4 linked regions of the Schizosaccharomyces pombe genome follow. Changing the gene in region 1 together with any one later gene gives a genetic interaction. Each region holds a gene or a part of one and is shown in the gene's direction. Other genes may lie near its edges. The genes, in order: coq11, ppk9, fpb26 and SPOM_SPBC1348.10C.

Evidence for each region.
Region 2: mutations in coq11 (region 1) and ppk9 together harm fitness more than expected from each alone (negative genetic interaction), as found in Schizosaccharomyces pombe (one large-scale study listed by BioGRID).
Region 3: mutations in coq11 (region 1) and fpb26 together harm fitness more than expected from each alone (negative genetic interaction), as found in Schizosaccharomyces pombe (one large-scale study listed by BioGRID).
Region 4: mutations in coq11 (region 1) and SPOM_SPBC1348.10C together harm fitness more than expected from each alone (negative genetic interaction), as found in Schizosaccharomyces pombe (one large-scale study listed by BioGRID).

The regions. Positions count from the first base shown.
Region 1 is NC_003421.2:2,273,416-2,277,907, reverse strand, and holds coq11 (ubiquinone biosynthesis protein Coq11), read left to right. Parts: upstream 1-2,438; 5' UTR 2,439-2,709; coding exon 2,710-3,540; 3' UTR 3,541-3,741; downstream 3,742-4,492. Other genes in the region: U6 snRNP-associated protein Lsm8, read right to left, coding at 1-6; pdi5 (protein disulfide isomerase), read left to right, coding at 4,064-4,492. UniProt on the Schizosaccharomyces pombe protein: Acts in the coenzyme Q biosynthetic pathway.
Region 2 is NC_003424.3:1,604,306-1,609,392, reverse strand, and holds ppk9 (serine/threonine protein kinase Ppk9), read left to right. Parts: upstream 1-2,243; 5' UTR 2,244-2,303; coding exon 2,304-2,418; intron 2,419-2,589; coding exon 2,590-4,073; 3' UTR 4,074-4,320; downstream 4,321-5,087. Other genes in the region: sterol transfer protein Osh3, read right to left, coding at 1-1,231; COPII-coated vesicle-associated protein Erv25, read right to left, coding at 4,535-4,863, 4,997-5,087.
Region 3 is NC_003424.3:2,058,563-2,063,884, reverse strand, and holds fpb26 (fructose-2,6-bisphosphate 2-phosphatase), read left to right. Parts: upstream 1-2,998; 5' UTR 2,999-3,407; coding exon 3,408-4,634; 3' UTR 4,635-4,822; downstream 4,823-5,322. Other genes in the region: sac12 (inositol polyphosphate phosphatase), read left to right, coding at 244-2,079.
Region 4 is NC_003423.3:25,332-30,934, reverse strand, and holds SPOM_SPBC1348.10C (phospholipase), read left to right. Parts: upstream 1-2,562; coding exon 2,563-4,515; intron 4,516-4,579; coding exon 4,580-4,648; 3' UTR 4,649-4,780; downstream 4,781-5,603. Other genes in the region: SPOM_SPBC1348.09 (dehydrogenase), read right to left, coding at 5,309-5,603. UniProt on the Schizosaccharomyces pombe protein: Catalyzes the release of fatty acids from lysophospholipids.

The DNA.
Region 1 (4,492 bases):
ACTCATGATAAAGTGATTTAAGTATTAGTTGTATTACAGTATGGTAGTGCTAAACAAAAGTAGGTAGTCTTACAGCATGTATTTCAAGTGACATGATACTTTTTATAAAACATACAGCAAAAACAAAAAAATCAAGAATTTTAATAAACTAATCAAATTGAAAACACCTTTTTGTCTTAAAATTTTGAAGCTAACTTTGCTATCAATATAAGAAGTAACCCAATTATATTTTTAGTTTGGAAAGGAACACAATCTTGTGTCAAAAGAAAATTAAAGTAATTTGTGAAGCGCACGATTTTTAAATGATCTTTTGTTTTATTAATCAACGAAATTTATTTTGTAAAATAGATCTATTAAAGGAAAAGGTATTGAACATTATTCCAGCTATATCCGGCTCACGAATCCTTCCTCATCATTACAAGCAACCGTTCTTCTAACTAAAAATACCCGTTGTAAACAAATATACAAATCTTATGGACGTGGGGAATATAGATGTATATATTTGACTACAGTTATATTCTTGAATTACTTCATTTGATAGTTGTTGAGTTTAAATCATTGAAGGATAATTCTTCTTTTGAAGGTTTGCTTAAATAATTTGGAAGAAATAAGTATTTAAGAATTCCGTTTTATAAGAATTTTTTCACAACTTTAGATTGTTATCGATGTGCCTTACTATCTTAGTTTTTGAATGAAAAATTAATGACGGCTCGAATATAAAGGGGACGGTCTTCGCTCTTTATTCAGCAAAGAACGTATGGAATAGAAAGAATTTGTACTAAATGTGTCACCATAAGTGCGAAGCTTTAGGGTTTTTACATTATAAGACAAGTTAGATTTTTGTTTTAAAGGTGGCATTTAGAATATAGACAGATGAAGTTAAAGGGCGCAGCTCGTTTTCCTTGGCACTTTTTTACACTCATCTCAGTACTTGTATTATCTTCTCAAAGCAGCTTGGTAGTACAATTTTCTTGGATATTATCCCTATCTGATAAAATAAAGTTTCGCTAATAATTAAGCGAAGACTTACAACTTTGACGAAGCAGCACACAGAACTAAACCAGTAGATCATAGTGACTATAAAAGCAAATCTACTTAAAGAGGCTGAGAAATTGCCATCGTGAGTTTATTTATTTTCAGCTATATTCTTCAATGTAAATTTAAGTATTTATTGAGAAAAATTTAAGAAAGTTAAGTTGTTCGTTATAACGTACAGCAGCTACGAAAGGATATTTATACTACTGTCTCGCAAATAAACATTCTAGCAACTCATTAACATCATAACTTGTGTTGGAATAGTAGACAACTATGATGAATAAAATAAAATAAAAAGGGCAAGTTAGAAATCAGAAATTTATGCTTAATGTTTCATTTGGATTTTCGTTATTTCCAATGTATTCTGAATATACTCATACTTAAACACATATTGTTATATGTTATATTTGTTACATCAGGGGGATCGATATATCATATACTCCACAGTATAGCTAATTTATTTGTAACCCTTTTTGAAGAAATATTTATTTGGTATTGAGAATTAAATTAAATTTAAAGATTTACTATATCATAGCCTATTTACTCAATCTGTTCAAATGTTGCTTTCGCAAACATATTTTTATCAGTCACAATATAATGAAATACACATTTGATTTAAAACAATTTCAAAAAAAAAAAAAGGATGTTGATTAGAATGAAAGAAAAAAAATAAGATTTATATATTTTCAAAACAAAAAAGGTGTAGATATCAATAATAAGAAGACTTAAAATTCTAATAGATCTCGTAACGATCAGTTATTTTAAATTTATAAAATTAAACCACAGTGTATTGTTTTAGAATATATGAATTTAATACTTTCGCTCAACGATTTCTTGATCGATCAACTAAATATGTAATAATATTAATTAAAAAAAAATAAAAAAAATTTGAGATTTTTTCTTTCCTCTTGCTATGAATCACGAAATTTTCTGTATGAACAGAATAGCAATCAACTGGCTTCTCAGACACTTCATAAAACTCGAAATTGTGTCTTCAGGGTTATCGGAATAAATATTATGATTCATAAGCTCTATTGTTAGCTTAAAATTGAATTTGTTATTAATCTAACATATTTGTAAATGGGTTTATGAAGTATTTGAATTTGAGATCTTATTATTACGAATTTAAAATCCAAAGATAATTAAGAAATTAATCAATGGCTTATAAAGTATAGAAAATTAAAGACTAAATTATCAAAGCATTTTTATTTTTAATTTTTTTTAGCGCTCTCATTTAAGACAAACTTTTACTAATACTCCAATTATGAATGATGGTTATTTTGCATACTTATTAAATGATGTACATATTTTTATAAATTAATAAGTCTAATAGAAGATAATTAATTACCTCTTTCCATCTCTTGGTCTTCCTTATTGAGCTAGCACATTACCTCATTCTCTTCAACTACGATTTACTAACTACTCAGGTTGAAAGGGTTTTTTGAACATTGTTCGTAAAAGGAAATTTTAAAAATATTTTGAGACAGCATTTTTGTGTTTCTCAATTATTAAGATTAATAATAAGCATCACGAAACTTTGAGGTGTTAGCTTACATTAACAATTCTGGGGTTCTAATCCTTATAATAATTTGGGCTGGCCTATATCAAATTGTCTAATTTGAAGATTTAAATTCTTTAAATAATTTTATTTTTACTTTCTCCCTCGTTTTAAGTATGAAAATTGTTGTTTTAGGTGGTTCAGGCTTTTTAGGGCATAATATTTGCAAATTAGCCATTGCTAAGGGTTACGAGGTGGTTTCAGTATCCCGAAGAGGAGCTGGAGGATTGCATAACAAAGAACCATGGATGGATGATGTTGAATGGGAGACGTTGGATGCTCAAAAAGATCCAAATTCATTACTTCCTGTTCTTCGTGATGCCTCGGCAGTGGTGAACAGTGTTGGTATCCTTATGGAAAATAACTATAAAAAGATTTTACAGAATCCCAGAGGACCAGTTTCGCATTTAATCAATAGTCTTAGCTCTAACATGTTTAAAACTGGCCAAAACCCTTTAGCACCTAAACCTGAAGAAGCAAAGCAATCTAAAAATAAAGTTACATTTGAAGCAATCAATCGAGATTTAGCTATTGAAACAGCTAAGATTGCCGCCAAAGCTAATGTCCCTGTGTATTGCTATGTGTCTGCTCATGCAGCGGCTCCCGGGTTGGATCCCCGCTACATAAAAACGAAACGTGAAGCTGAAAGGGAAATATCTAAAATTTCAAACCTTCGTTCTATATTTCTCCGTCCTGGTTTTATGTATAACTTTAATGATCGTCCTTTCACAGGCGCCCTTGCGTCTCTTTTTACTGTCTCATCCAGCATCAATCGAGCAACCTCTGGTGCTTTAAATTTCCTCGGAACCGCTTCGGCTGAACCCCTTCCTTCTGAGGAAGTTGCTTTGGCTGCTTTGGAGGCTATTTCTGATCCCAGTGTCAAGGGTCCTGTGGAAATTTCCGAATTAAAATCTATGGCTCATAAGTTTAAGCAAAAATCTCTATGATTCTCTTGTTAAAAGTAAATTACACATCATAAGTTTATGAAAATGAATGATTGGGTTATGTGTAATGAATTTTGACCAGTCTTAATTATATCTACCTGAATACGTCTTTATACTTTCAAGTTAAAATATGATTGCTAAACAAAGAGAAAAAGTATCGTCTAATTTAAATTCTCTGCTCAATATTTACATCATTTGAACTACTGTTATCTAAGTCGTAGAATCTTTTCCAACTATAATTGCCAAATTTGCTTCCTGACTGTATTTATTAACTAGAAAATTAAAACAAGTTATTTCAAAAAATTAGAAAGAAAGCTCTTTTCCCATGTTAACTCGAGCTATATTTGCTTCGATATATCAGCTGTTGTAGTAACCATACATTTTACCTTATTATACACCTCGCACTACCTATATCAAACGCACGCATTCGAAAGGTCCTCGGTGAATTAAAGAATTAAGAAGATAGAGAAGTTCATAATCCTTTTAATTTACTTATTCAAATTGGACTTACAGTCGTAAATTATTTATGGAGCTGGGTGCTTGGAGATCTATTCTCTATATTGCGTTCCTGTTCGCGATTACGCGCCATGCCTTTTGTAAAGCAGTTAACTTGGTGCATTCACCAGAAGGAGAAGAGTTCGAAAATATTTTGAGCTCTGTTTCTGCTACAGTTGAGAAGAAAGAAGTCAACAATAAATTAATAATGCCGACAGCTAATCGCGACAACCAAGGAGTAAGAGAAGAACTTTTAGTTTCTAGTTTTAAAGAAAGAAAGCTGTTGAACACCAATTCAGCCAATTTGCGGCTAAATAGTATTGGCTCATACGAAATGATCGACTTCAAACAGATTAATTCCGAATTTTTCTTGTCTCATCGTCAACATGGGTTTGTATTATTTATCGATTCTAAAAAAAAACCACGACAATCATTTTACACCGACTCGGCTACTTCTATT
Region 2 (5,087 bases), on another chromosome or scaffold:
GAGCAACACTTGATTTAGTAGCATCAGCTGCGTGAGCACCCGACTCAGAATAGTGATTCAATTGAGAAGTTGTGCTTTCATAATCTTCAGCGTCGTACCAATGTTGCTCAAAATTGGAATCCATAGACATGCGTGACGAAGGAGAAGATTGCGCCGTACGTTCTTTAGTATATTCATGGTGTTGAATAAAGCATTCCAGTTCATGCAACAAAGACCCGAGTTGACGAGTAACCTTGCGTAAAGTAACCGCAGCTTGCGCGTTTTCAGCAGCAGTAATTTCCACTGAAGTACGGGTTTCCTTGTTTTCTTTGGCATCACCGGGAAGTTGTATACGGATCTCAGGGACAGAAAAATTATGACTTGAAGCCGATTTGATACGACTGGTGCGATACAATTGAGCAATATCCAGGCATTCACGTAGTCTTGAGTAAATAGAGACTAACTGATTGGATGACGATTCTTGTGTCCTTTCGTCTACTACGAGCTTTGAAGAAGTTTGACTATTTTTCGCCTTTTCCAAAGCATTGCACCAACGTAGCCAATCTTGGTGAGTATGTGCTCGTAGGTTCCACAGTTCTACGCCTGAATCAACGTTGATCTCATGCGTCTCTGCAGCAACGCTAATCACAGCAATGCTCAAGGGAATTTTACCGCGCATTACCGAAGAATTTTCGTTAGCATAGTATGAGATCGTGCCTTCCACCATGTTGAGAGTGAAGTAACGTCGAGCATAGCCTTGGCCCTTCTTTCGGCGCTTTTTAAGCAAGGTTCCAGAAATAATTTGTTTAGGAGAGCCATGGACTGATGCATTTGGTATTCTCGGACCGTTGTATGGTTGCGCGGTCAAGAGGAAGGTCACAGTTTTTGGTTTTGTTTTCGAAAAAGTGTTATCAAACACGAAGGCATAAAGTCCTCCATTCTCAATGTAGACAGAGCCCTCACTAGGCTTTTCCGACATACATCGCTCTCCTTGATAAAATAATTCTAACCCAGCAGCACTCAACTTCTTGATACCAGCTTCGTGAGTGTGTTGACGCTTTGTATGCAGGATGGAACGATCGGTGTTTTTGTTGGATCCATCTAGCAAGCTAGATGTGTCATTCTTTTTATGATATATATCAAACTTTATGCTTTTCCGTTTCACATGCAGTTGCCAACTCAGTAAGGAATTCGATTCCACCGTGAGCCATTGTATCAACAGACTCTTACTTCGTATCTCCACAGTTTCCATGTTGACTCATGGACTTCTACTGTGATAATTGCAAAACTTAGAAAGCCTATTTTTTTCAATTGATGACTGGAGAGGAATAAAATAATTGCCTAAACGTATGTGGTAAGAGATGGATTTTCGGTTTCGGGATTTTCGGGCGAATGACTCCAAGGTATTTTACCGATGCGGAACGTTCGGTTTTTTGGCGGCCACCTAATGTAATGTATACTTAAGTAGTAAACAAAGGGCTGGTAGCGGCAATAGGTATGCCAGTATGTAAACGGATACAAAGAAAATTTTGCACTTATCACTTTCCGTAGTGTGTACTTGGGATGCCTCGATCGGGCTATTTCAGATATGGCAAAATATACTTTACATTAAAAAATAGCTATACAAAAACATTCGCACGGTCTGTAATATGCGGTTTTATGTTTGTCTACTAGCATTGATGGCATCGTGCGAAATAATGCGGGTTTTTGGGATTAAACCGAAAATCAAATGTTTTCTGTAGTCAAAAAATCTAGCTGTTGTAATTTTTTATTTAATTGTCTTTGAGTATTTCTATTACTGCTTTTACTAATTTTATCATTATCACGGCTGTATTGTTGTAGCTTATTGTGCAAAAAATTTTGGCTAGAAGTTGGGACGGATCTAATGATGGAAGAGGGTAAATAGAGAGTTCCCATGTACTCATAAACTTTGAAAATTGGCATAATTTCCCATAACACAATACCAGCTCGATTTTCCATTTCATAACACAAAATTTACATACCTATGCATCTGATAACCCATAGACCGCGTACCTTAATTAAATAAAGTGCAGATTGGTTGCTCGTATCGAACGCTAGCGTTGTCTGCAATGTCGCCGTGGAGATGTTTACCAAAAGATAGCACGTTACGCCATATAATCTTATTACAAGGTTGCTTTGAATCACACTACTTTGCCTCGTGCACCTTTTTTATCGCTAACAAATTAGCATCAGATGCGCGGATCATGTTTAAGTCGGACGGTATGCAGCAACATGCACATGCTAACCACCTATATACACGAATAACGAATTTCATCCTATAAAGTCAGCTGGCTCGACTTGCTATGCAAACCCCTTCTTCTGCATCGGCAGAGTCTGAAAAGGATTCAGGAAACACCTATGTTGGGCCTTGGCTTTTGGGAAGGACTTTGGGACAAGGAAACTTGGCCAAAGTGAAATGTAAGTACATGAGGTGAAATTTAGTTGACTTTGTCTTGTAGGGGCTTGTTAATAAGATAGAGTAGACTACTTATAGACAGTAGAGATAGACTACTTAGGTGTCATGGTTATCTTGCGCATCGATCGTCTTTGATTTTGTTTTTGGCAATTGTACGATGGCTAACAGTGTAGTGGGCAAGCATTTTCAAACAAATGAAAAGGTCGCATTGAAAATGGTTTACAATGATGAATTGGAAGATAAAGATACGTGGAAGCGTTTACAAAGAGAAGTGACAATCTTAAGGCAATTGCACCATCCAAACATTATCACCCTATACCAGGTGTTTCGGGTTCCCAAGTACACAGTGCTCGCACTAGAGTATATGGATACTGATTTGCACAGTATGGTGGTTAAGCATAATCGACTGGATGAATGTACCACTCGCAAGATTTTTCGACAAATTGTCCATGCCATCGATTATTGTCATCTTCATCGTGTTGCTCACCGAGATTTGAAGTTGGAAAACATTTTACTTAATAAAGATCTGGTTGTCAAGCTCACGGATTTTGGCCTTTCCAATTTTATGCTTGATGGTTCCTTTCTGAGTACCTCTTGCGGTACTCCCCATTATGCTGCTCCTGAGGTTATTCAAGGCCGTTATTATGATGGTTGTGATGTAGATGTATGGGGTTGCGGAATCTTATTGTATTTGATGCTCGTCGGCGAGTTTCCCTTTGAGGATGTAACCATCTCCAATGTATTAAGTCGCGTTTGTAAAGGAATCTACACCATTCCTAGTTTTGTATCTTCTTCAGCCTCAGATCTCATTCGTCAAATGTTAATGGTGCTTCCTACTTCACGAATCAAAGTTGCAGAAATAATGCAACATCCTTGGTTTATCGCTGATCTTCCCACGCATTCCCGTTTACCTTCCCGTACTTCATCCTTTTCTTCCAAGCATCGATCTGTCACCTTTTCTCCTCCAGATCTTGCTATTCTTTTCGACCCTTCCATAACTTCGCCTTCCAGTAGTGTAGGTCAAATTCCTCAGCCCACAGATCACTCAGCCCTATCCCCGTCAAAACCAATGTCCATTTCAGGTACTGAATCTCCTAATCCAGATCCCGCATCTTTATGTTATTCGTCGTATGAGGACTTGTATTCGGCTACTTCGTGGCATTCTGACATGGCAGAATCATCCGGATTTTTAGATCCTACTGATATTCCACCAATTCCTTCTAACGTTGAAACTTTACGCTCTTCTCTTCCACAGAGACATGCTTCATTCATGAATAAGGTCTACAACCATCCATTATCCCGACCTCCCGCCCCCAACCGACTTCGTTCTTTACGCTGGCATTATGGGATTCAAACTGCCAAAAATCCAATTGAAGTATTGAGAAAGCTATGTGAGGCTTTACTTGAGTTAGGAGCTCGGTTTCGGCCCTGTGATGAGGAATCTTTTCTAAAGGAAAATAAGTATAAAGTGTTTTCATGCATTACATGTCATAATTCTCCTGTTTATCTGGTTATTGAATTATTCTCTATTGGACCATCTGCTAGCGTGATTGATATCCGCTTTTCTAGTAGTGATGATTCTATAAAGTACACTTCATCTTACAGTCCAATGCCATTTTTAGAAGTTGTCAAACAATTGATCCTTAAAATTGCATAAGGTCAGTCGCGTAACTCAACCTAATTCCCTTTTTTATCCTTTTTTTTTCTTTTACGATTTTTTTTGTTGTAAAGCTTTTGTTTTCAATATTGTTTGCATTTACTAATATTGTGAAACTAAGTTGAATTTTGATATTTTTGTTACGACTTTCTCATTTAGTTTCAATTAGAATTCACAGTTGTTACATTTCCCTTTTGTTTTTTGAATTTGTTAGTTATTTCACAAACAATGAAGATAAACAGTTGTAATATTACAACAGAATTATGCTAATGTAATTTACTACAATCTTTTATTTTTATTCATGAAGTTAAAGAGTGAAGTAGTGTATATGCATTAAATGTGAATGTTTGTCCATACTCACAGTAATTCCTAGTACGGAATATAAAAGCAACCAATTAATTTTTGGAAATTGTGGAAGTGCCAAGTATGCCGTATACGTATATTTATTGTTCATGTGAAATTTAAGGGATAAGATGCTTCCTTTGGAAAAATGAACGTAAATAGAGGATTTGCCATATAACAAGAACAAATAATGAGATAAAAGTAAGATATGCAAAATTCTTGACACGCTCATTAGTACTTTCATTAGTGTTTCTGAATCTAGCTTCGCGAGCTTGCAAATAGTAAATTTTTCCTTTGATTTCTTCAATGAAGTCTCTTGCACGACGGATATCAGCTTCTACAGGTTCCAAGTTGTTTGCTTTTTGCAATGAAGAATAATCATCGGCGTCAGCGCCTACAGTAAACTCAAGTTTGACGGATCGCTTTTTATGTTCAGACTCTATAGCACCTACATTTAAATGTCAGTCAGAAAGCTAAACTCATAAAGGATTTCTTTTTCAAAGAAAGAAAGGGATCTAAACAACGTAAACAAATCAAAATAGCCGTTGAAGTAAATACGACTTTTAGATATAGTACCATACCTGGTGTCAAAGTATTTAGGAAGCAAATATCGAGCATAGCAGAAGCATCAACGTCAAAGGCAACACTCTTCTCGCCTAAGACATTTTGAAT
Region 3 (5,322 bases), on another chromosome or scaffold:
ACTGAAAGTTCGTTTTGTAAAACGTGCTGCATAAACCTTCAGGTAACAATGAACTCGTTACTCAGGCGCTGCGTTGGAAATCAAGCCTTCAAAAATCGTTTCATGGACATTAAAGAGTTTGATTTGAATTTTTGTAAATATAGCATTCTCATTTTTTACTTTTGAGACCTAATTTGGAAAATACATTAGTCCGGGGTTCATTATAGCAGAAAAGCATCTACGCTTCTCAAATACAACAAAATAATGAATCAGGACGTTAGAGTATTTCCAGACAGCATTTATCTATCATGTTCCAAAAAAAAAGCTTCTCTTCGAATAGATAGAGTCGACGGATGCCTTAGTTTGAGCAATTCTCTTGATCTCAGCAAGACACCTGACTATAATAACGTTCAGTTATATGGATTTATTCGATTGAAAATATACAAATATGTAGTTCTTGTTACAAGTTGTGATTTGCATGCAGCAATTCTCGGAAACAATATTTATCGGGCAAGGAAATTTGCTATCTTCCCAATTACAAGGACTCTTCCATTCTCCACGGGTCTGCTAAATATTAAAGATGAGGAAGAACTACATTATATCAGTTTGCTCAATAAACATTTGTCAAAAGGCCAAATACTTTTTAGTCCAACGTTAGATCTAACCTGTTCCCTTCAAAGATTACGCGTACTAACCCAATCTTTTGAACTGACATCAAAATATAATTACCGCTTTTTTTGGAATAAATATGCATTTCATGAATTAATTGAATTGACGAATAAGGATTTAGGCTTTCAAGAATGGATTCAACCGATGATTCAGGGTAATATCGCCATTACTAACTCGTTTTTAAAGACTTATAACCTTAGACTGTGTGTTATTACACGACATTCTCCTGACTATGCGGGTACGCGGTATTTCACCAGAGGTGTAAACGCACAAGGAAGTGCTGCTAATTTTAATGAAATTGAACAAATAATAATGATCGAATCACCCATCACCCTTGAAGAACAAATGGTTCTTTCTTTTACTCAAATTCGAGGAAGTATCCCCATGTTCTGGGCCGAAGTTAATGATCTTCATTATCGACCTTTATTATCTTTACAACCTCTTGATTATAGCGAGACTGTGTTTGGGAAGCATTTTCAAGAACTTGCCAACGATTATGGGGACAATCTTGTGGTGGTCAATCTTCTAGACCAAAAAGGACGTGAAGCACCTCTACGGTCTGGGTTTGAAAAATTATGTAAACGAAATAAAAACCCTCCTTTGTCTTATGTTTACTACGATTATCATAAGCAAGGAAGTAGAAATCTCCCTTTGTTTCTTGCTGAAATTCAAAGTCTCTTGATAGAAGGAAAATATTATGCCGAGCATGGATCTAAAACTACTGCAATGCAAACCAACTTTGTAAGGACAAATTGTATGGATTGCTTAGATCGGACGAACGTCATTCAGACTAGCATTGCACAGTTTATTCTAAACATGCAATTACACGATATTGGTGTACTTTCTAGCTCTGAGAGTTTGGAAGAATATGATAGTTTTTTACAAGATTTTCGCTTAATATGGGCTAATACTGGAGATTATATCAGTGATCTCTACACTGGTACCCCGGCCTTAAAAGGCGATGTGACTCGCCATGGAACGAGAACCATTTTTGGAGCTTTCAAAGATTTATTAAACTGCTTTCGTAGATATATTCTTAACAATTTTTTTGACGGTATGCTGCAAGATAGCTATGATTTGGGTCTTGGAGTATTTCGTCCTTACGACTCACTTTCGATTCCGGACTTGCCTTTGCGTTTTCACTGGACTAGATTTGTGGCACCTGGAATTTTTTTGTTCACCACGATAATATTAACTATACAAGAATTATTTGGAAATCCAAGTCTGTTCTGTCGTCTGTTATATTCTATCCCTATGGTGAATGCTGGAATCTACCTATATTTTCATCGTAGACAATACGTTAATTGGCCTCGTCTAGTACTACCAACGTATGCTAAGGGAGGTTGGTTTTCGTTTCGTAATCATTTCCGAAATATTACTCTTAAAGTGTTTCGTTTTTTGCGTTCCGGCTCTTTCAAAAAAAGTGTCTAACTGTGCATTTCAATAACTAAAGAACAGTATTGCTATAACTCTTAATTAGCAGAAAACGCTCTTTGAACACTCGAAGTTCACTCTTTATTTCATTAGACTTCATAGATGTCAATCTTGCTACTGAACAAAGCGATGCTACCCAACTTTATCAAGTGACTAATTCAGATCATTTTACGTGATTGGTAATTGTAACTTTATTTTCTTTAATTGCTCCAAGCTTCCTACCAATATCAATTAGTAATTTAAGATTTTCATAATTGTTAGAGCCCTTAACAAACTATTGTAGTATGGATAACACACGAAAAAAATATAGCAGACAAAATTAATATTTCTAACTTTTATTAAGTCAGTGTTAAATATTGGGCAACTTTGACCATTGAATCACTGAGGCTTTTGACTCAAGTTTTACTCGGTTTTAAACAGTAAATGAAATATATGAAAAAGCCAAGCTTTCTTTCAATTTCATAAGTGTTGTTCATGTTCAATATTTAGGATACATACTTCTTCCAATTTAGGGGCATTCTGGTTTAATATTTTCAATGAACATGTTATAAAAATGAATTTTTTAAAAGATCATACAGTTCAGCAACGTTTTCTAATACTTCCAATCCAGAATCTTAATTCACAATTCACATTACTGAAAAAATGATGAAGTTATGCCTTACCCGACAGTTTTTGTATGAAAACTCCACAATATTACGAAAATGATTATATACACTTTTACAATCAGCTTAGCATAATTATGCTTATAGAAATGGAAATGCTCACACTTAATTTTGAATATTATTTTAATAGTGGATTTAACTACTCCTAGTACCAAGTCAAAGACTTGAGATCACTTAATGTAGCTTACGGAAGCGTAAACATCTCTCGCAATAATACTGCGTAACGAAGACCTGCAATTTAGTATATTAAGCTTGAACTTACACGTATACCCCTCTTGTTTATGTTAGCAGGAGTGCAATGTTCTGAACTTGTATATTTTAAGCCGTTCTGTTAAATATTATTAATTTAATCGTTTTTCTTTTTAAAAATTATAGCTTTTTAACGCATTGACGAGTTCACTACATACTCTAAGGATACTTAACATAAGTACGAGTACTGCAAACCGTCCATCAAGCTCTTCAAGGCGAATCATACATTTCGAGCGAAATACGACTCTTTAACATATATTCATTATTTAACATATTCACTTAATAATTCAACCCGATTCTGGCAGGATTAGCAACCTGGTCATATTCTTATGATTTATTCTTTAATATTTGTTTGCAACATAACCACACCCAAAATTTAAATTAAGAACTAACTTTTTTACATTAAGATCGAACATGAAAGACATTGAAGGACTTTTGGGCCTATGTGTTTGCTTTGTGGGGTTACCCGCATCTGGCAAGACATCTTCTGCAATGAAATTATCCAGATATTTGACATGGATGTCCGTTTCTACTCACCTTTATGATACGAAAGAAATTGATAATTCGTTGTCCGAAAATTCTAACAGTGATTCAGAGAATTTAGCTAAAACTCTTAGCCCCATATTCGATAATCTGGAGAGCGTTTTTAAAAAGGGTACTGATGTTGCGATTCTTGATTTTAACCAATGTACACTAAAGTTTCGGAAAAGTATAGTGGAGTTGGCAAAAGCGCGGAATATGCTCTTAATGTTTGTCGAGGTTGTCTGCACAAATCAAAAAATTATCGATGAAAACATTACTGATATGTGTCAGCATTCACCATATTTCAAAAGCTTTCCGTTCGAAGAATCGAAGAATAAAATCCTTGATAGTATTCATGAGTATGAGAAACACTACACACCTTTGTCCGAGGCTGAAGAATGTACTTTCGTTAGAATTGTGGACTTTGGAGCCGAACTGATAGTTCATAAACTTGAAAATTACCTTGAATCTAGGATTGTTTATTATCTCTCTAATTTGCGTACGCGTCGACGAAGTATTTGGCTAAGCCGACATGGTGAAAGTCAATTTAATGTTGAAGGAAAAATAGGTGGTGACTCAAGCTTAAGTCCTCAAGGACTAAAATATGCTGCTCTTCTTCCTGAATATGTTGCTAAGTTTTCGATAGGTGAAAAAGGACTTACGGTTTGGACATCTTCAATGGCTAGGACTATCCAAACTGCTCGACACCTTAATTGCCAAAAGCTCGAATGGAGAGCACTGGATGAATTAGATGCAGGAACGTGTGATGGTTTTACTTATGATTATATTGAACAGAATTTTCCTCATGAAGCCGAATTGCGAAATAATGATAAATTTCATTACAGATATCGTGGCGGAGAATCTTATATGGACGTAGTAAGGCGGTTAGAGCCGATTATTATGGAGTTAGAACGACAGGGAGATGTTTTTATTATATGTCATCAAGCTATTCTTCGTTGTATTTATGGATACTATCATAATCTTTCACTTGAGGAATTACCATTTATTAATGTTCCTTTACATACAATAATTAAACTCACTCCAATGACATACGAAACGATAGAGGAGCGTGTTACAGTCCCCATTTCTGCTGTTTCTACTCAACGCGGCAAACATTGAAAGAAAATTCTTCATAATGTGCTGATTTATTCCTTTAACGTTGATCAGAATTTTTCAAAGGTTGTGAATTATTTTTTAATAATAAAATGCAGCATTGATGACTTCAATACAAAATTATTTTTTTCAAAGTTTATTGTTAATTATTCTTCCAGTTACCTAAAGTTCGTATCACTATGCAGATAGCCGAAAGTATTTACTGTACGTGAACAAATCTTTTAAACGAAAATAGAAAGAAAAAAGTAGTTTACTCGGAACCATCAATTGGTTGTGTATGTCATTCATAAAGTTGTTATCTTTAATGCACTATGAAGCATTTAAGACATGAATGGCAAAATTATCTTTTTTTTTTCTAGAATCGAGCTTCAACCACGTTTTACAAAACTGTGGCTGTTGCTCTCGAGATCAATCAAAGTTATACGGTATATACTTTCCAAATAATTAAGCAAGGAAGGATAGCAAATCCATAATTCTAAAGATATCGAAAAACTCACAAAATAGCGAACAAAGTATTAGTAGTTAGAGTACTTTTTGATTAGCCTTAGAGAAAGTCAACAAGATAAAAGTATTTGATATTAAACGTCGCTTTTATATCATATTTTTTAGCAGACTTCTTCAATTTAAAGTCATTAAATAAATCCTATCATCTTCAGCTAATGACAGGACAGAATAAAACCCTTGACATACTCGA
Region 4 (5,603 bases), on another chromosome or scaffold:
ATCATTTTATTTAATATCGATTGCTATTGTTCGCAGATCATATAACACAGCAGCCACTGAGTCTACTATCCAAGGGATTCTGTGTTGTATGCGATATCAATTGGTCTGAAATTCTCAAAAGGATTTCATTAGTTTAAAGCATTAGATCCATGTTTAATGCACATCTCTTCATTAGAAGTACGAGCTTGGCGGCTAAGCTATTGCATTTCTGAATTTCATAACGTACCTTGATAGAGCAATATTAGAGTACCTTACCACAAAGATTGTTCATTACTGCCACTAAATGTTTGAGTTTGAAATTTATCAATCAAAAATTTTGACTAACCAACCTATTTTTATACAAAACTTACCTTGACGGTAATGCTTGAATTTTGTTACTAAAATGAACGACTAAACCACTTATGAACAAGTTGAACATATCGATCTGTTTTGTAAATTATTTATACTGCGTAACAAGTTATGCTAAAACATCACGGATGAGTATTTTTAAAGCTGACGCATCAAAACGATTATAGTAAATCCGCCCATGTCAAAACGTTACTTGGAAATAAAAAGGTTATAAAAGAACACTGAAGTTAATTTTGCACTTGCCTAGCCGTACATATTGTACCATATATCTTTAACAAAAATAAATTTGTGTACGGCTTAGTATATTATGTGTTGAATAACGACAATACTTTCCATGCAGTTTTTTCGCTTTACTCTTTGCGGCATCTCATAAATAACCAAATTATGTTAAATCATACATGTAAGAAAGCTTGACAGATAAAAATAAACATAGACAAAAAGAAGCAAGAGATAATACAATACATCTCAAGTTTATTGCTCAGCTTGGTAACGTTAGGTAACGTGCTATAGAATACGTGAATTTATTTAAAACGTTATCTAAATTTTGCTGTGCAATTGAAAAGCGTCATGTAGGCAACATATTCATGAATAGAAGTTGATCAAATTGCTGATTAACAAATTCAAAAATTAGATAAAAAAAAGATTTATACCAATATAGGAATATAGTATGAGTAGATAATTCGTGAGATTAATATTTCTGTAAAAGTTAAGTTTATGTCGCATAATGTCGAGAAGCAGAACGGCAGTATAAAAGCGATACTAAACGGCGATTAGCAGTAAAAGAATATTCAACAATAATGTTAATTTTTTAATCAAGCAAATGAGAAAAAAATGAATCCAAAAATGATTAAATATAAATGCAATTATTAGCACTATCATTTTGAAACAAGTCCAAAACGACGTTGGCTACAATGACAAATATTAGAAACAGCATATTCTTGTTCAATGCTTATAGTTGGTAGTCATGAGTAGAGAATATAAATACAATGCACACGATGTAGATTTGATGTGGGTAAATGAGCAAGTAATTATTGATCGTGGAAATGAAATACGACCTATAAGCCTAAAGCATAATTGATCACTAAAAAGTGCTCTTTTATCTCCAACTTGAAGAAAAAGTAGAACAAATAAAAAGGCATCACAAGCTGCCATACAAAAACTATCAAACTTTGTTCAGCTAAATGTTTTGTGCATAACGATGATTAGGAAATTAGTGTGGAAAAGTTACAACCTTATGTACTGTTTCGGAAAGATACAGTAAAACAAACAATTCAAGAGAGATCTAAAGAGACAATCAGGTTAATGGCCTTTAATAATAAGAAATTACCGCGATGTACAACTTAAGCAGGTGTGACAAAAAGTACAAATGTACGTTCGAGCAATTAAAACTACTATTGACATATCATAAAATAATGTCAAATGTTGCAAAAAATAACAAACAAATTTGTTTTCTCGAGGTCAAGCGAAAAGATATTTACATGTATGAAAGTCGAATAATTGTGATAATAGCGAGGATTTATGAACAAAGACTACTCGAAAATACAAAACTTATTTCTCCCTAGTATATGAAGATCAAAATAACTTAAGCTAGTTGAAATGCATGCAATGTGTTAAACGTGGAATCATGAATTCGCTATGCATTTTATTGGCGTTTTCTTTTTCGTGTATCCGCGCTAGTACACTAGATTACGTTGCCTCTCACCATACATCGAATGTCCCTACTATCATCCTCCTACTTATATTTATAATCAATACGTGATCATCAGATCATTCCCTTACACGCTCCCATTTCAGATTATGCATCGTAATACTAACAAACTATTTTGTATAAGCGAAGTAATTAACTCCATTCGATGATGAGCGATCAGCTTCTGGTATTATTGTTCGCATACATATCTTGTAACATTTGTTACTCAATAGAAATTTAAGGTAACATTGATCATAAAGTAAAAGCTTGCCGTACTAAATTGTATCCGCCTAACGTTTGCGAATTTTGCAGCAAGCATTGTTTCGTATTTAAGATCACTTTTGTAGACAGATCTTGAGATAACGCGACAAATTTTGGGGCTTTTAAAGTTCGGAATTCTTTCTTCCGGATCAGAGATGTGTAGTGCGCCAGAGTAATATATGATTTAATATTCTTCCGTGTAGTACACTTTTCCATGCGAACTTCAATTTTTACAGCTTTTGTTTGAACTTTTTTTATTTTCTGCAATGTATGTCAACTATATTGGACTCTTTGCTTTCGTTCAAATTTCGTTGACGTTAGCTTATCCTCCCGGTCGTGTGGAGATTTCTGAAATATATGATTTTGAAGAATCTAGTTCGTATAAAGGACAAGATATTGATACATCCGTACTTTACACTTTGTCTAAAAGGAAACCTGCGCTCGTAAAACGAAGTACCGACGCTTCGTATGCCCCTTTCAATGTGACCTGTTCAAACGACAATCTGTTGAGGCCGGCTTCTGAAGGTTTAAATGAGGGCGAACAGAGCTATATCAACAAACGTATTTCTAAGGTTAACAGTGAACTCCGATCATTTATTTCTAAGACAGGTTTGAATGTTGACTTGGATAAGGTGGTTAACAGCTCGGATGGTCCACGTTTAGGAATTGCATTCTCAGGTGGTGGGTTACGGGCGATGGTTAATGGAGGTGGTGCATTCAATGCTTTTGACTCAAGATTCGAGAGTGACTCTCCACTTTCTGGTCTGCTGCAATCCGCGATGTATATCAGCGGTCTTTCTGGTGGTTCATGGCTTGTTGGATCAGTGGCTATTAATAATTTTACGAATATAACATACTTACGTGATAATGTCTGGAATTTGGAACATAGCGTTTTTGCTCCTCATGGGGATAATGTCATTGAAAATTTGAATTATTATAATGACTTGCGCAAAGAAATTGATCAAAAGAAACATGCGGGCTTTGACTGTTCTTTGACGGATTTATGGGGACGTGCTTTGTCCCGTAAACTTGTTGATGCTGAAAGGGGAGGACCAGGCATTACATATTCCAGTATGAGAAATCAAAGCTGGTTTCAAAATGCTGATTATCCTTATCCCATCATCGTTGCGGATAGCCGATTAGAAGAAGAAACGGCCATCCCTGCCAATACCAGTATCTTTGAGTTCACGGCGTATGAATTTGGTACATGGGACAATGGAATTAAAGCATTCATTCCAATGGAATATGTGGGAACTCACTTGTTGGATGGGGTTCCACCCGATAAGTCTTGCATTCATAACTATGATAATGCAGGTTTTGTTATGGGCACTTCAGCTACTTTATTCAACTCTTTTCTTCTTGACTGGAATGAAAATGTCAAAAAGAATGATACCTATTACGATATTCTTCATGCGATTCTTGAAGATCTTTCTAAGCATCAAGATGATATTGCTCCTTATCCCAATCCTTACCAAAATTATACTACTTCCAATACCTCTGTAGTGAATGCGTTCGAACCGTATGATACTATTGATCTAGTTGATGGTGGTGAGGATAGGGAAAACATTCCCCTTTGGCCTTTGTTACACCCACAACGATTTGTGGACGTTGTATTTGCGATTGATTCGACTTATAATGATCCTTATGGTTGGCCCCTTGGATCTTCCATTGTTGCTACATATGAGAGAGTTGTAACCTTTAATGCGAACAAGAGTGTTGATGTGCGTGGATTTCCATATATTCCGGACGAAAACACTATTATCTCTTTGGGACTAAACACTCGTCCTACGTTTTTTGGATGTGACGGTAAAAATACTACAGCAGGAAATCATGATGTAGACAATAATACCCCACCTCTCCTTGTATACTTTCCAAATTACCCTTGGACTTATTATTCCAATATATCGACATTTACTATGAGCATGGACGACAAGATGGCTAATGGAATTCTTGAGAATGCATTTATGTCGACTACGCAAAACAATAATGAATCTTTTGCAGTTTGCTTAGCATGCGCTATAATTCAACGCTCTTTGGAACGCAAGAAATTGAGTACTCCTACCCAGTGCTCTTCTTGTTTCCAAGAATACTGTTGGGACGGAACTCTTGCAACTAGTACGGCTTCTGTATATGATCCTACCGTAATGTCTGCTGCGACAACATCTCGTGCACCGTCAGGCACAACCTCGGGTACAGCCTCTAGTACAACATCTTCATCTGTATGTTCTCAAAAATTCACGTTGATTAAACTATTTTTTTTTTCATCGCTAACTTTTGTTCTAGGTAGCATCAGCCACTCCCACTCATAAACATTGGTGGGACTCGATTTTCGAAGCGAAAGAAAATCCGTAAAAAGATTCCATTGATGTTGTTTCAATGGATTCTCAGGCATGTGAGAAATTTAGAATAGATAGATTTACCTTTATTGTACTTGGTTACGAATTCGTTATGAAAGAGAACTAAGGATTTTCCTCATTCGTGAGACTGCTCAGTTAAACCCTTTACGTTTGATGGAGCTATGTAAACGGGTAAATGAATAATTTGTTATCTCTAAACTTTTTTAGATAAATGCAACCGGTCGAATGGATGAACAGGCTTAGTTGGCTCAATCTGAGATCGATGTGCATTCACGTAAAGACACGAAACGAAAGAATGTAAGCATGAAAACGATTAAATACAACATTGCTTTAAATTGATATATACGTACAATTGGGAATCACAAGTTGAATGAAAAATAGTCCAAGATCGTTGTGCTAATGATGAACATTAAATGATAGATTGTTTTAAAAGCTCCCGGTTTTTTAAAAAATAGATAATAATAAAATTGACTACAAACATTTAAAAGTAAGACAGAGACTTGTTAATTCAATATATGAGGAGTCACTACTAAATATTTTACTGTATTTTGAAACTTCCTAAAGGAAGGAAACTAAATAAATGCTGAAAGATTTATCAACAGTTTGGTACAAAAAACAGTAAAAGAGGAATATTCAATTGGTAGAACGAAATCGTTTAAAGACCCATTTGTTTTCGGTGTGTTGCTAAAAATGTAGCATCATCAACTTTGCTTCTCAATGCCATCCATTCAACAACATAATCTCCAGTAGGGTATCGTAGCTCATCACTTTCATCCGTTGCCGCTTGCAATATCACTTCTGCGATTTTTTGCGGTGGTGTAGCTGTTTTCAATTTAGGTAGCAAGTCTTCGTACAACTTTTGTTTCAGATTGTCGTACTCAGCATAATGTTTACCTGCACCCTCTTCAACCCTAAATTCAGTTGCTGTAAAACCAGGTTCTATAATCTTG